Linked DNA regions of Tribolium castaneum. The main gene of each other region encodes a partner of the protein of the gene in region 3 in a complex. Links are inferred from orthologs where the notes say so. Each region holds a gene or a part of one and is shown on either strand. Other genes may lie near its edges.

Evidence for each region. Proteins that work in one complex are often made in the same cells at the same time.
Region 1: dynein regulatory complex subunit 5 (region 3) and dynein regulatory complex protein 1 homolog share a complex: the UniProt entries of both Homo sapiens proteins name them as parts of the nexin-dynein regulatory complex. The link is inferred for Tribolium castaneum from reciprocal best matches to the Homo sapiens genes DRC5 and DRC1.
Region 2: dynein regulatory complex subunit 5 (region 3) and Gas8 share a complex: the UniProt entries of both Homo sapiens proteins name them as parts of the nexin-dynein regulatory complex. The link is inferred for Tribolium castaneum from reciprocal best matches to the Homo sapiens genes DRC5 and DRC4.
Region 4: dynein regulatory complex subunit 5 (region 3) and lobo share a complex: the UniProt entries of both Homo sapiens proteins name them as parts of the nexin-dynein regulatory complex. The link is inferred for Tribolium castaneum from reciprocal best matches to the Homo sapiens genes DRC5 and DRC7.

What each region holds. Positions count from the first base shown.
Region 1 is NC_087399.1:6,863,435-6,867,406, reverse strand, and holds the start of dynein regulatory complex protein 1 homolog, read left to right. Parts: upstream 1-1,172; 5' UTR 1,173-1,256; coding exon 1,257-1,378; intron 1,379-1,422; coding exon 1,423-1,906; intron 1,907-2,253; coding exon 2,254-3,231; intron 3,232-3,281; coding exon 3,282-3,459; intron 3,460-3,585; coding exon 3,586-3,754; intron 3,755-3,803; coding exon 3,804-3,956; intron 3,957-3,972. Other genes in the region: RpL11 (large ribosomal subunit protein uL5), read right to left, coding at 140-378, 429-615, 663-803, 1,128-1,133. UniProt on the Homo sapiens protein: Component of the nexin-dynein regulatory complex (N-DRC) a key regulator of ciliary/flagellar motility which maintains the alignment and integrity of the distal axoneme and regulates microtubule sliding in motile axonemes.
Region 2 is NC_087400.1:9,427,199-9,431,421, reverse strand, and holds the start of Gas8 (dynein regulatory complex subunit 4), read right to left. Parts: upstream 2,801-4,223; 5' UTR 2,614-2,800; coding exon 2,611-2,613; intron 2,561-2,610; coding exon 2,331-2,560; intron 2,280-2,330; coding exon 2,018-2,279; intron 169-2,017; coding exon 50-168; intron 1-49. UniProt on the Homo sapiens protein: Component of the nexin-dynein regulatory complex (N-DRC), a key regulator of ciliary/flagellar motility which maintains the alignment and integrity of the distal axoneme and regulates microtubule sliding in motile axonemes.
Region 3 is NC_087397.1:8,815,992-8,819,990, reverse strand, and holds the start of dynein regulatory complex subunit 5, read right to left. Parts: upstream 2,801-3,999; 5' UTR 2,551-2,800; coding exon 2,269-2,550; intron 2,219-2,268; coding exon 1,879-2,218; intron 1-1,878. UniProt on the Homo sapiens protein: Component of the nexin-dynein regulatory complex (N-DRC) a key regulator of ciliary/flagellar motility which maintains the alignment and integrity of the distal axoneme and regulates microtubule sliding in motile axonemes.
Region 4 is NC_087396.1:17,962,989-17,967,232, forward strand, and holds the start of lobo (dynein regulatory complex subunit 7), read left to right. Parts: upstream 1-1,444; 5' UTR 1,445-1,466; coding exon 1,467-1,853; intron 1,854-1,917; coding exon 1,918-2,043; intron 2,044-2,843; exon of another isoform or gene 2,844-4,244. Other genes in the region: Atg2 (autophagy-related protein 2 homolog B), read left to right, coding at 335-489, 538-681, 738-983. UniProt on the Homo sapiens protein: Component of the nexin-dynein regulatory complex (N-DRC) a key regulator of ciliary/flagellar motility which maintains the alignment and integrity of the distal axoneme and regulates microtubule sliding in motile axonemes.

The sequences.
Region 1 (3,972 bases), on a different chromosome or scaffold from region 3:
CTGATGAAACCATGGCTTTAGGATTTTTGGTGAAGGATAAGACTAGGTCACAAAAACTCAAATTGAATTTTCTTAAATAAACTTATTTGCGTCCTCATACAAATATGTTAAAATTAAAACATAACCATACGAAACGCAATCACTTCTTACTCGCCAGAATTATACCGTCATATTTCTGCTGGAACCACTTCATGGCGTCTTCTTTCGTCAAACGGTGCGGGAATCCAACCTTCCCTTGTTTCCTCCTCCTGTGGGCGACATTGAAGCCAGGCCGTCCCAAAACGACGTAAAAATCTAAACCGTAGATACCAATACTGGGGTCATACTTGATCCCCAAATCGATGTGTTCCTGGATACCGAAGCCAAAGTTACCTGAAGCTAATTCTCTCATTAGAGCGATTTTCGCGCGATTTGTGCCAAAAAAATACCGGAAAAGTTGTCGCGTCTCAATTCGTACTCGCGCACTTTCAGGCCCCGTTCGAGGATCTCCTCGGCCTTGGCCCCACGGACTGTGCAGTGAACGGCGATCTTTTCGTTACGTCTGATGCCGAAAGACCGGACGGTGTAGCGGGCTTTGGAAAACACGGGCTGTTGCCCCGTCAATTGTTCTAACACCTGCAAGTCGAAAATTACAATCTGGGGGGCGATGCAAAGACACTCACTTTAGCGGCGCGGGTTAACCTATCACCAGACTCTCCGACGCAAATATTTAGGCACAGTTTGCGGATGTGAAGGTCCCTCATCACATTTTTGGACTTGTCCTTCACCTCCCGCTTTTCCTTCTTCGCTCCCTTCGCTACCGGCTGGAAAAAACACAACATTTTTTTTATAGGTTAGACTTGCCCTGTCATAAATAACAACCACAAGGTGAATTTTCGCCCAAATCTACTAAAAAAACAGCAAATGATTGGTTTTAAACGACTCTTTACGTGTTTTTAGGCGAAAAAACTGCCAAAAAATGATTTTTGGAACACATGTCCCTAATCACCAAAAACAAAAAATACGCCCAAAATCACAAAAAAACAATCATTTGACACGCAAATCACTCAATTTCAATCAATTTCACTGATTGTGCAAAACGATGATTAAAGAAATAGAAAATTGAACGAAAAAACAGGAAAACATACCGCCATTGCGAATCTAGAAAGTTGAAAAGACCGTCGGTAAAACAGTTTTCTGAAGCACAATTCTCTCCCGTTGCTATAACAACGTGGCGCTAAATTCAACTTGCTATTTTATTTGATCAATATCAAGAAATGGAAGAGGAAGAAGTGACCGATGAGGAGAATTACGAACCGCAGGTTTTTTCCAAAAACCCCACCGAACGTATTGCCGCCCGCCGGCTCCGCATCCAGCGCCGGGTGGAGGCTTTGCGCAAGTAAGCCCCTTTTTTCTGACTTTTTTTCATTTTGCCAAAATCAGGGCAAAGGAGGCTCAAGAGGCGGCAAAGCTCAACGTTACGCTCGAGCCGGAGGTCACCAAGACGCCCATCGAGATCCAGATTGAGAAGAGCATCGAGCTTTTGGAGAAGCTGGTTCTCGAAGGAGATGAGTATGTTACCAATGTTCGGGTGGCAACGGAGGCTCGGGAGGCCGACAGGCGTGAACGCGAAGGCATAGGGAAGGAAAAGCTGTTGAAGGAGCTCGAAGATGAGGCCGAGGCGGCAGCGGGGATGTTCGAGGAGATTGCAAACAAGTGGGGCGGGATTTTGAAGTATAATGACCCCTTGCATATCAGTGAGGATATCCAGAGTCAGAAGGAGAAGTGCGATGAGCTTATCAGACAGAAGGATAATCTCATTGCTGAGCTGAAGGAGAAGATTCGAAAGGCGGAAATCAATTTTGCGATTGATCAGAGAAAGCAGATCGAGGATGTCAATTCGATTGCACGCAGGATTGAGAATCAGGTCCCTATGACTTAAACGTTTTTATCCTAGATGACTTCATGCACATTTTGCTCTAAAGGTTTTTTCCCAGAATTTCTTTTCCTTCTCATAATTTTTTTCAGGTTTTTTTAGTTTTAGTAGATTGCAATTTTCGTAAACTTAATTTCGTTCATTCATTCATTTATCTACTGTGATTTTTTTGTGTATTTACTTTCCAGTTAATAAGGGGGTTAAGTTATAGCAATTGCTAAACAATTTAAATAAAACAGACGAGTTATTATAATTATTTTTGCAAATTATATTTGCTATAGTTGTATTGTTGGTTGCATACCCAACCAAACGTTTAATTTAGTTTTTCCAAATTTTAGATTATCGTGATGAGGAAGGCGTATCGCCAGGAGTTACAAATGATCGAAGAGGTGATCCTTGCCGAACGCCAAATCCTCATTGAGGCCAATAACAAGAAATGGGAGGAACTGTACAAGAAGCGAGACCAGGAGGAAAAAGCAAACTCCGAGCTCAAATCGGAAGATTACTGGAATTTTGTCAAAGAAATGGACCATTTGAACCGCGACTTTCAAGAACTGTATCGTGCGACCACAATTCAACTAGAAAACGACTGCGACGAGCTCCAGCGTGAGCTGGAAAGAATCAAAACCGATGCGGTTATGAACAGCGAAAAGCTCGACTACAATTACCAGATTTTGAAAAAACGCGAAGACGAGAATCTGATTATTCGGTCGCAACAAAAGCGCCGAATTAACAAGCTTCAGGACGTTATCAACAACTTGCGGAAGAAAAACAACGATTACCACACTCAAACCCATCAACAGATTGACAAACTCACGATCGAGTTGAAAAAACTGACCCAGAATATCCTCGATATTGAGCGGAAAGCTGATCATATAGCTCAGGTTAATGACGAGAAGTTTAAGAAAATCTGGGGTATGAATAAGCAACGGGCCGATCAGCTTTTCAAACGCATCCTCGAGATTGATAAGACTTTGTACGAGCAACAGTTAGGTTTGATTTGGAGCCCTCCTGAGCATAAACTCCCCACGAGAAATGAACTAGACAGTTACAAAACGGCCCTAAATGTTTTGAGCGTTCGCAAATTGAAAAGCAAAAGCGTGATTATGGAAACAGAAGGCGCCCCGAACGTGGAACCTGAAATTCCTGAAGGCGATGACATTGACTATAATAAAAATTATAAAAAAACGTTGAGACATGTCTTGAATTTGGTCGGCGATAAGATGGGGTTTTTGATCGAGGATGACTTACTTGCCATTTTGGAGCCCTATTTAGAGCAGGAACGCACTTTGGTTAAAGTTGATAACGTTTTTGCGGTAGTTTGTTACAGTTAATTGTTTATTTATGTGCAAAAAGAATATTTTAGGCCCTTAATATTAATGATCGTTCCGATATTGACCTACTTCTTGAGTTCTTCCTCCCTTACATGTTCTGTCCCATTTGTAACACAACTTCAGAAAAGCCCATCAATATTGATGAAGAAAGTTTGCTGAATGTTCATGAAATGGATCCTCTGAACGTCTCCCAACTCACTGACAATGATGGTACAGTCACGTTCAAAAAGAATGACACCCTTACCCCTGCCATTTTAGGGGTGTCATTCTTTTTGATCGTGACTGTACTTGGGTACCTAAGGTATTTAAAAAAAAAATTCAAATATGTTTTTTAAGACAGTAGAAGCCGATTAAGTGATACTTATGCCACCGACATGTCTTTGAACGAATACGTGGGGGCGGAGCGTGAAGGGGGGACCAATATAGACGTGGGCCCTTTATCAGTAACCCTTTACGACGATAATTTGAAAGGGGAGTGCAAAGGGCCCGAATTGCGCGAGCGAGAGTAAGCAAATTAAACGAATTATTTGTCACAAAATATTGTTTTTTTACAGTATCAAGGATCAGGACAGTAAAGGGTCGTTTGGTGAAGCTGATAATAAATCAAACGTGCCATGCCAATACCAACACCCACTTGTGATAAGCTCTGTTTACGTTTTGAAAGCTTTGAGAGAGTTTCTGGCCAAATATCACGTCAAGAAGGCCGGGTAAAAATTTGAGTTA
Region 2 (4,223 bases), on a different chromosome or scaffold from region 3:
CAAATATGGTAAATAATGTAAAAAACTTGCACATTTATTCCTTGATTACGTATGTTTGATGTTTAATTCTTGTTTCAGGTCAGCAAATTTTTTTTCGTATTTATTTTCCAGTTCTTTTTCTTTCAGTTCGAATTGGTTTCTGATGGTGCTTATCTCTTCACTATGTTGCTAAAAACAATTATTTTTTTATTGGTAATATTTTAAGCCTTTTTTTATATCTCAATCCTAGATTATAAACATTATTTTAAAGCACGCTTCCCATAGCAACGTGTTTTAAAAAATAAAATGTTCCAACAAAAAAAAATTGAATAACACTCATACGAAAACGCTTAAAGTTCTCGGGTGTCTAGGTATGCAACTCGCATATGCTCGTTGCATAATGACAGCCCTCTAACTTTAAGCTTGTGTTTTCGCACTCGTATTATTAATAACTATTTTTTGTTGGTAACATTTTAAGCCTTCTTTTTAATATCAGAATCATAAATCATAAACACTATTCTAAAACACGCTTCCCATAGCAACGTATTTTAAATTAAAATATTTCAACAAAAAAAAATTGAATAACACTCATACGAAAACGCTTAAACTTCTCGGGTGTCTAGGTATGAAACTCGCATACGCTCGTTGCATAAAGAGGGCTCTCAAACTTTAGGCTTGTGTTTTTGGACTCTTATCATTAATAACTATTTTTTTTTGGTACTATTTTAAGTCTTTTTTTTAATATCTGAATCCTAGATTATAAACATTATTTTAAAACACGTTTCCCATAGCAACGGGTTTTCGCTATTTTAAAACACGCTTTTTATAGCCACGTGTTTTAAATTAACATATTCTCAGGTGTCTAGGTATGTAACTTGCATACGCCCTCAAACTTTAAGCTTGTGTTTTACTCTTATTATTAATAACTATTTTTGTTAGTAACATTTTAAGCCTTCTTTTTAATATCTGAATCCTAAATTATAAACACTATTCTAAAACACGTTTCCCATAGCAACGTGTTTTCGTTATTTTAAAACACGCTTCCCATAGCAACGTATTTTAAATTAAAATATTTCAACAAAAAAAATTGAATAACACTCATACGAAAACGCTTAAACTTCTCGGGTGTCTCGCATGCGCTCGTTGCATAAAAACAGCCCTCAAACTTTAAGCTTGTGTTTTCGGACTCTTATTATTAATAACTATTTTTTTTATAACATTTTAAGCATTTTTTTAATATCTGAATCCTAGATTATGATCATTATTTTAAAACACGTTTCCCATAGCAACGTGTTTTCGTTATTTTAAAACACGCTTTTCATAGCAACGTGTTTTAAATTAAAATGTTCCAACAAAAATTTTTAAATAACACTCAAACGAAGACGCTTAAAGTTCTTGGGTGTTTAGGTATGCAACTCGCATATGCTCGTTTCATAACGACAGCCTTCGAACTTTGATCTTGTGTTTTTGCACTCGTATTATTAATAACTATTTTTTGTTGGTAACATTTTAAGCCTTCTTTTTGATATTAGAATCCTAAATCATAAACACTATTCTAAAACACGTTTCCCATAGCAACATGTTTTCGTTATTTTAAAACACGCTTCCAATAGCAACGTATTTTAAATTAAAATATTCCAACAAAAAAAAATTGAATAACACTCATACGAAAACGCTTAAACTTCTCGGGTGTCTAGGTATGAAACTCGCATACGCTCGTTGCATAAAGAGGGCTCTCAAACTTTAGGCTTGTGTTTTTGGACTCTTATCATTAATAACTATTTTTTTTTGGTACTATTTTAAGTCTTTTTTTTAATATCTGAATCCTAGATTATAAACATTATTTTAAAACACGTTTCCCATAGCAACGGGTTTTCGCTATTTTAAAACACACTTTTCATAGCAACGTGTTTTAAATTAAAATGTTCTAACAAAAAACAGGCATACGAAAACACTCGGGTATCGCATACGCTCGTTGCATAACGACAGCCGTATTATTAATAATAATAACTATTTAAATTCAAATAATCATAGGTACCAGTTTTAAAGCTTTGACTTGATCTTGATGGGCGACTTCTTGTTCCCGCATTTGCGCTTTCAAATCTCGCTTATCTCGCAACAATTCTCTTTCCTGTTCAGTGTGGTCATCTTGTGACATTTTCAGCGAAACAAGCGCTTCAGCTTTACATTCTGTTAAGTTGTTTTGGTGTTCGTATTGCAAATGTTTGACTTTTTGCTTGTAAAATTTCAGTTCTTCTTCGTTTTTCTCAGCCGCTTCCTCAATCTGTCGGTCTTTGTTTCTACAAATTTTTATTCTAGTGTTTGTTTTTACAAATTTTTAATTTTTGCACCTGAGTTTTGCTTTAGCTTCTTCAAGTTCATTTTTTGTGATTTCCCAAAACGTCCGTAATTTATCTCTTTCGAGTTGAAAGAAATTTCGTTCTTCTCTTTCTCGTTCGTTTTCCTCTTTTATTCGGTGGCAGAAGACCTCGAGCTGCTCTCGGGTCATTTGAGTTGTGTCCACTCCATCGATGATATTTCCCGAACCGCCTTTTCCTTTTCCACCTTTCTTTTTGGGAGGCTGGAAAATTTTAATTAGCGAAAATTCAAACAATTATTAAAATACTGAACCATTTTACGAAGTGAAAGTGAATGAACTAGCTAGCAGTTCTTCAAGAAACTATTTGTTTAGATGGTTACTACCCGCGTATCGATTTCTTTGGAATGGACTTATTTTAAGGGAGAATTCTGCCCAATGAGTCAATGACACTAAAAATATTCTGTCAGAAAATTTGGCATCTAAATGACTATTTAGAAAATGTGTCGGAGTGACAAAAAAACTTGTGAAGAATTAATCTTTTATTTGTTATTTCTTATTAAACCAGTAATTATTAAAATCGGATGCACAAAACTTTATTTTTATAACCTAGTATACTACAGTGTGAATTATGGAGGACTATTTATTAGTTTGGAGACGAAACGAGACAGAAAATCGCAGAAATTTCTGAACTTAAAAAAATAGTACAGCGGAGAAAAAATGAGGGCGCTTCAAGCGATTTTAAATTAATTTAAATCCAACCAACTCACTCATTACTTGGAAAAAATGCAGAAATGTTAAGCTCTGCACTCTTAACAAAAACTGACGACTAAAATTTTCATAACAAACATGAGAAAAAATTATTTAAGATTTAAAATTGGGAAAAAATTTCAAATGAATTAAATTTCCTGTAAAGAAGACCGCCAGACCATATTTCTAACGTCATCGGTTTATGCCTTGAAGACGCTGAACCAAGTGTAGGTATAAAGTTAATTATTACAGGGTGAGTCAATAGTGGGTTACTTCTAACATGTCCTAAAATGCAACCAAAAATACTAATTGCACGTACGACTTGGAATTTGATTTTTAAAACATTATTTAAATTAACACTGGTTTTTTATCATTTAAATAATAATAATCTATAACAAAATCTATAATGAACTGTCAAGACAAACTTGACACTATCCAGAACAATGTAATCTTGGATTAAATTAATTTTTTTAACAATTACCCATCTGGTCAGCAGGAATCGCTATTATTGGTTGCATATTTATAGAAATTTAGAAACAACCCACTTTTATCCACTATGTATACAGGATGTATCAAAAATTCGTGTGTTAATTTTAACACGTAATAAAACTCATCAAAGAGAACAACATTTCTATATAACATTTTGCAAAATTGTTATTTATAATTTTCTTCGTTTTCCTCCTTTCTTTTGTGCAAACGAGTCGGTCAGTGTTTAATAATTATTGCATTCATGGCAACCATTTGCATTGTTGTTTTAAATTGTTTAAATTGTCCGTTTCTATCACAACGAAAATAGTTCAGTTCACTTATTTTTGTACTTATAGATGAGTACACGTTTCAGTATGTTATCTTTTTTCAAATTTTGAGTAAATTTGCAAATTTTTTATTGAAAAATTACAAATAGAAAAGATGTTTTATTTGTTGAGCTCTATTACCTGTTAAAATTAAGACACGTATTTCTGATGCACCCTGTATAAACTGTAGAAGATAGAAATATGGTGTCAAGTACTTTTTTTACAAAAAATTCAGTTCCGTATTCCCAGTGTTTTGATAAATATGCGCCGGTGCGCAAAGAATTATTGCTTTGAATTATCAACTTGCGTTCCACCTTATATTTTTGAGAACGTAGTAAAAACGGTTAAAGATACCAAAAATGTGTAAGGAACAAAGTTATAGA
Region 3 (3,999 bases):
AAACTTGAAGTCTTGCTATGTAAGAAACAATGTATTAATAAAGATTGTTTATCTGCTCGTGTAATAAGTCCACTTGTGACTTAACCACTCTTGGACTTAACCTTTTTACTCGTAGATAAACAAACTTTTTATCGACTCGTATAATAAATAACTGTAAACCACAATTTATGTGAAAATTAAAAATGGTGGATGCGCCGGGCGTGACCTAATACTTACATGAAACAGAAATTATTTTTACGTTTTGATAAGCATTTTTATTTTTATTTTATTTTTAACCCAGTGTTCAAGTATGATTATAACTTTAAAACTCTAGAATTTTTACGTTTAATTCAAGTTTAACCTCTGTGGCGTGGAATTTTCAACAAACATAAAACACAATAACTTTTATTTTGTAAACTTGAAGTCATGCTACGGAAAAACAATGTACTAATAAAGATTGTTTATTTGCTCGTGTGATAAGTCCACTCGTGACTTAACTACTCTTGGACTTAACTTATTTACTCGTAGATAAACAAACTTTTTATCGACTCGTATAATAAACAACAATAAACCAATTTATGTGAAAATTTAAAAATGGTGGATGCGCTGGACGAGTTCTAATAATATTTTCGCTAACAGAAATTAATTCTACATTTTGCCAAGCATTTTTATTTTTATTTTATTTTATTTTTAACCAAGTGTTCAAATATGATTATAACTTTAACAATAAAAAATGTTTACGTTTATTCTAAGTTTAACTTCTATGGAGGTGAGATTTTCAACAAACCTAAAACACAATAACTTTTACTTCGTAAACTTAAAGTCATGCTATGGAAAAAAAATATATTAATAAAGATTGTTCATTTGATCGTGTAATAATTCTACTCGTGACTTAATCACTCTTGAACTTAATCTTTTTACTCGTATATAAAAAAACAACTTTTAATTAACTCGTCTAATAAATAACGATAAACCAATTTACGTAAAAACTAAAAAATGGTGGATGCGCCGGGCGAGTCAAAATAATATTTTTGTTAACAGAAATTAATTCTACGTTCTGCCAAGCATTTTTATTTTTATTTTATTATATTTTTAACCAAGTGTTTAAATATGATTATAACTTTAACATAACTATAACAATAAAGAATTTTTACGTTTAATCTGAGTTTAACTAATATGGAGGTGAGATTTCCAACAAACCTAAAACACAATAACTTTTACTTCGTAAACTTGAAGTCATGCTATGGAAATAATCATGTATTAATAAAGATTGTTCATTTGCTCGTGTAATAAGTCCACTCGTGACTTAATCACTCTTGGACTTAACCTTTTTACTCGTGGATAAACAAACTTTATGTGGACTCGTATAATAAATACTTGTAACTCACGATTCATGGAAAAATTAAAAAAATTGTGGATGCGCCGGGCGAGTCCTAATAATATTTTCGTTAACAGAAATTAATTCCTCTTTTTGATAAGCATTTTTTTAATTTATTTTATTTTTAACCGAGTGTTTAAATATGACTATAACTTTAACAATGAACAATTTTTATATTAAATCTGAGTTTAACCTCTGTAGGGGTGGAATTTCCAACAAACTTAAAACACGCTTTTTTGTTTTTAGTTAACAGTTCAAATACCAATTTTCATGTTTATAACTTCAATAATGACGGAGTTTTATATTTAACTCTCTTTACCCGATATTTCAGTTGACAGTTAAACCAAAAATATTTTGTTTTTTTTCAATTTATTCCATGGTTTGGCGTATTTCAATGCCTTTAACCAAAGTTAAAAACAATTTACCGAAGTAAAAGTGTCGGGTAATCAACTTTTTTTTCCTACGTACAGTATAATATAAAATAACGAAGGGTCAAAAATTGACTCCTAGGAATTTAGTACCGTAAACCACATCAAACTCTTCAATATGGATCAGCCTTTTAAAAATTGGCTCAAAACTGATATGATCAGTGGGATGGAACTCTGGAATGTCTTCTTCATCCCAGTGTAACGGCGGCTTCCATGCTTGCAGCTGGGTCACAATCAACGTCCGAACGTAGTTAGAAGACAAAGTCAAAATTTCGTCCATTTCATCTTCGTCATTATGTTCGGGTTGCGCTTGCTCGACCATCTCTTGCACATGCCTCTCAATAAATAAACTCTTCCAATTCCACGTTTCCCGTTTTCTGTAAATAATCGTTCCGTATTTATCCTGGTAGCGTCGTTGCCAATAAATTTCGTCCTAAACTGTGATTTTGACAGGACCACACTATTACTTAATTTGATTAATACCTCAATGAGGGGCACCACAAGCTGCAAAGGTAACGCAAGATCTAAAATTTCGAGGAGGTAATCGCGGTCTTGACATGGTAGTTCGTCTAATAAAGAACTGTCGGCAAATTTTGACTTTATCACTTCTACACATAGCGTTGCCAATGAGGGGCAGTGGTTCTTGTCCCATTGGAAGTTTTCAGAAAGGATTTGTCGGTCGGGTTCTCCGACTAGGATCAAACTTTCAGGGGACGCCTCGTAAGTGAGGTTTGTGTTTTCGTTGATTTTGTAAGGGACGCGCATTGTTGGGAAATTCAAAACCGCATAATGTAAATTTTACAGACGTTTCTAGTCATGTTGACACGTTATTAAGTGACAGGGGCATAAAATGTGAAATTTTATTCGGGAAATTGATTAAATTGTAAATTAGAACGGACTCAAATCGTGACTTTTTGACACTCTACGGTCGAAACTTTCTTTCTTGAAATTTTTGTTTCCAAATGTTGTCTTTATACACTGAGGTTTTTATTTTACTGAACAAACCATAACACTATTACTCCTATCTTGTCAATACATTGCTATATTTCTTAGATCTTCTGTGTTATACAGCGTGTTAGGGAATGGTTTAGTAAAAATTTAAATGTAGATAGAGAATGGCTAGACAAACCGATTAAATAAAATTTATGTAAATCGAAAATGCAGTTTTCCGAAAAAATCGTTCTAAAATTAAAGTCCCAAATTTTGAGAACCGCTGAACTAGAATTATAACAATTAGCGTAAATGTTAATATTATTGACAAAACAGCAGAGATAAATTAACTACGACGTTATATCTTTATTTCGATGTGTTTTGTTATTAAACTTTTCGAAAAAAAAACATTTTTTTTGCCTGGACCGGGATACAAACCCCCCACACAAATAAACATGTGGGCCACAATTTTGAAATGTATTCTGAACGCCCATGCGCCGCCATCTCGATTTTGTTTAATGAAAAAATTGCTAATAAACTTTCACAAGCCACACAGTGGCTCTCAACAGGTGGGTTAATAAAAATTTCTGAAGAAAGTACGCACTTTTTGAAAGAATGATATAAGGTATTTTAACTCGTCTGATCATGACAAATTCGCATTCGAAATATTGTTAAGCCATTTTTACCGCTTAACACTATTTTAAGATAGCAACGTGTTTTCACTATTCTAAAACACGCTTGCCTTAGCATCGTGTTTCAAATTAATGTTTTTTCTATTTGAAAACACCTTTTCCAGGACAACGTGTTTTAAATTAAAATGTTCCAACAAAAAAATTTTTGAATTCACAGTTATGCGAAAACGCATTAAAAAGTTCTCAGGTATACACTCGCATACGCTCGTTGCATAATGACAGCCCTCGAACTTTAAGCTTATCTTTTCGCACTCGTATTATTCGAGTTATTTATTATCTGTGCATAGACCATTGCATTCAACCATTTTCTTGAAATTCTTGAATTTATCAAAAACTTTAGACTTCTTTAAAAAATATACTAATGTTTTTCTTGTATTGTTGTAAGAAAAAGTTAATAAATAAAAAAATAAATAAAAAAAAAACAATTTTCACAAATATTGCTTTCGCTTTTGATATCTTTAAATTCGTGTAATTTTTTTGGAAACTGTTATAAATTCCTCGTTTGGCGTTGGTTGAAACAGCTGTAAAAGGGCTCAAACAGCTGTGACACTCGTGGCCAAAAACCGTGAACAAACGAAACAGAGGGTCACGA
Region 4 (4,244 bases), on a different chromosome or scaffold from region 3:
ACCGAGCCCAAATTATTAATTAAAAGCTTTTATTTGACTTGCTTTGTTGTCTTTCTGTCTGTTTCTTTTTTTGCAAGTCACATTTGAGAGTTCCTGTTGTCTGAATGAATTGAAATTTTGCATACTTACGTAATTTACTAATTAATAAAATTAATTTAAAACCATATGGGCCCGAGACTGTCTAACACTTGAAGCGCCCTTGTTTTTACTCTCCCGTTTTATATTTTTTGGCGCCAGAAAATTGAGCGATTTTGTATTTATCTCGTTCCGTGTCCTTCCTAAAACCTACTTACTATTTAGTTTTAGTAGTATAGGCTAATCAAACTTGTTACAGTTCAGGGAATCAGAGATTTGTTTTGCTTGCCGTTCGAGCAATACAAGAAAGATGGTCGCTTCTTCAGAGGCCTTCATCGCGGTGCTAATAGTTTTACGACTTCGACGGCAATAGCAGCTTTAGAGCTCACAACGCGGCTTATTCAACTGATTCAAGTGAGTTAAAACCGTTTCGGTTCATTTTCTATATTGTTATTTTTTTAGATTACGGCTGAAACTGCCTTTGATATGTTGACCCCAGGGCCGAGCGTAAAAATTAATCCAAAGACAAAAGTGCGCCGTAAACGATACAGCCAACCCAAGGACATCAGAGAAGGGGTGACCAATGCGTACAAGCTAGTTAAAGAAGTAGGACAGTTGTGAATTTTTGTAAAAAAAATTCTACGTGATGGTTATTGTTTCAGGGAATTGAGGAAACTGCCGATAATATACTACAAGTGGCTTCACACGAACATGAACAAAAAGGTTACAGTGGTGCTGTCGGGGGTGTTATACGCCAAATACCCCCAACTATAATTAAACCAATTATCATAGCTTCTGAAGCTACCAACAATGTGCTGGGTGGTATGCGCTGCCAGTTGGTACCAGACGCAAGAAAGGAAGCCAATGAAAAATGGCGTAACGAAGATACCTACGATTCATACGAGTGATAACAAAAGACTGTTGTTTGTGATTTTAAATTAACAATATAGATAATTTCGTTTAAGGTTGAATTGAGTTGTTGTGAATTGAGTTGTTGTTTTTACGTAGTCTTGTTATTAATCAAATATTCAGTGTCCATATTACGCCATTTTGGATGAGTTTACCTGAGCTGATACTGAATGATAAAAACGGGACAATATATTTTCGTAAGTTGAGCAAAATTGCGCTGTTCGTTCTCACGTGATATTCTAATAATCTGTACAACCACAACAAATGATTTCGTTTGTACCGATTATTTATTTGTATGTTGTGTGTGTTTGGATGCAGAAATGGACCGCGAATTACCATTTTGTGATAGGATTATTGTAATTAAACAATTTTTCATGTATGCAATATGAATAAATTTTTATACTTCGCAAAACGCGTTTTATTGGTTATCCCTCAAAAAAGTGACACTATCGTCATAGTAACGCGTTCAATTGTTGTCAAAAATGGAGTCAGATTTGGACTTCTTTCCGGATTATTTGAACGGTTACCAGTTCGACGATGGCGAAGGCGAAGAAGTGGAAGAAGAGGAGATCAAATACCATTACATCGAGATCTTGGACGCTCCGCGAGAGCTATTACCACCGGTCGAATTAACTCTGAAAGACCTCTCGCACATAGCGAACGAGCTGGGTTTGATAAAACTTTGTTGGCCCGAAATCGAACATCCGGAATTTGAGAATCGGGTGAACTTCCCGGAAAGCTACTTAGCCAATTCCAATAAGGAGAAGTTGCTTTTGCTCTACACGGAAAATTTCAGGAGGCAATTCAGCTACAAGTATCCTCACAGGAAGCAATTATTTCTGGCCAGTAACAACGAATGCGGAATGCAGGTAAGCAGAGAGCTGCCGCGCTTCCACCGCAAAGGGATAGATGGGGTGCGGTTGAATTTTTCAGAAAATGGTGTGCAATACGATTCGGCTCACAACGCTTCCCTATCCGGAAATTGAAACCTGGCAGGACTGCGCGAAATTTGTGGGAAATGCGCTGCGGTTCGAGCCGTTCGAGATTCCCACCTTGATTGTAAGTAAAAAACATGTTTATTTACAAAATCACAAAACAAAGAAAAAACAATGATTGTATACTACTCTTAGTTTTTAACTAAAGAGTTAAAAATATTGATATGATATACAGAAAAAAAACTTATTAGTACTTTCGTAATCGCTACATAGCTACATATTCATAACATATTCTTTGTTTAATTCATTTTTTGAATTTTTTTTATAAATTAAATAATTGCTGTCATTCTCTGTACACATTCTACAAAGATCTACGCAAGTGAAACTAAAATTTAATTTTTTCACGAATTTATTTTTTAGTGAGTGAAGTTATTACGTGTTGCAAATGAGTTTTTCAAGCGATCCTAATTCGTTTACTTATACATAAGATTTTTTTAATCTTGAGTTAATTTTGTTACAATTCCCTCTACCATTCCAAGATTCAAAAAAACCACCGAGTGATTGTACCGTCTTTTTAAATCACAATGTATAAATAAGAAAAGAAAGGCTTTTTATGCAAAATGGGGCGAGAACTGAGCTGGTTACATGGTTATATGTAGTTATACTCGTAGGTTATTAGTTATAAGATATAATTCATGTTTAAAAAAAAACTTACATTTTGTAACTGACTCACAACGTCAAATAAGGAAAAAGATTTTAATGGGAACTACCATTGAGTTGGAACTACGCTTTGCTTGTGTTATGATCCAAAATGACTAAGTCATGCTGACTCATGCATCCCCAAACCTTGTTGATATCAAGACTGATAACAAAGTATATATATACAGGCAATTAGAATAAAAATATGAATCTGAATCTCAATCTCTTCATGTTCTAGTGTAGTGTTAGTTTTAATAAACATATTCAAGAAATATTGTCCATTTACTACTCATCTTCAAAGAAGGCACTCAACAAATTGGCGCAGTCAGTAGGATGCGAAGATTGTGACAAAGAAGAAAGAAAATTGGGTCGACATCAAAAATCGAACCCGTTTTCCCCCAATTGCCACAATTGAAATTAATCTTCAAGAAGTCAAAGAAAAGGGTCGAGAAATTTTCATCGAGTATCCCACAGCTTTGAACGTAAGTGGACAATCTTTTTCTAAAGCTATTTTTAAATCTAGTAGTACGTTTATCCTGTTGCATGTTTCTTCGTTCACACGCAAAAAAAATAATAATGACTACTATCGCTACCACTACACCTACAACCTCCACAACAATCATAACAACATCGCAAATTCAAAACCCTATTCCTAATCGAAATCATAACTCTAACAATAATAATGATAATAAGGAAAACTCAAACACCAATGATACGCCAATTCATAACATGTCTGATATCCGGTCAATCATTTCTAACGATTTTGACGGGGACAGAAGCAAACTTTACGATTTTCTCCAAAATTGCGGTCAAGCGTGGGCGTTATGTCGCGGAGACCAAAAAATTTTAATAATCTCGTATATGGAATCTAAACTAAAAGGTGCTGCTAGAGCACAAACCCGATTTCACAAATTTTATTCTTTTAAAGAATTTCGTGATTGCCTACTAAAATTATTTGGAGACAGACGCGATTTTTCACAAATACTAGAAGAATTAAGTTCGATTCGACAACATAGGAATGAAAGCGTTCAATCTTACTTTTCGCGAATAGAAAATTTGCAAACCTTAGCTTTTAATAAAATATCTTTTCAAGACGAAAAAGAATCATGCGGCCGAACAGCAATGATTAACGAAATCGCTCTACAAAGATTCATTTTACATGCTAACGAAGAAATATCAAATGCTTTGAGACGATCTAAACCACAAAACTTAAACGATGCGTTAGCTGAAGCCCTTGACGAGGAAAGATTTTTAAATGCTCGTAAATATAATTCATCAGATTTTTCTGTTAATAATAAATTTTGTTCCTATTGTAAAGTCAAAGGTCATTTGTCAAAAGAATGTCGAAAAAGAAATGTAGATCAAAGTCATTCACCTAATCATAGTGTATCTAAAAATCATAAAACAAAATCAAATTTTAATAGTAACTCCAATTCAAAATTTTGCCGTTACTGCAAAAAGAACGGTCACTTAATCGAAGAATGTAGGAAACGCGAATATAATAATCAGAAAAAACAAAGCCAATCCTCTTCAAATAATAATGTCGTTAATTTAAACTCACAAACGTCCACAGTGAGTGTCGCACTAGTGGACAACCATTAAATTCAAAGTTCGACACAACTCGCA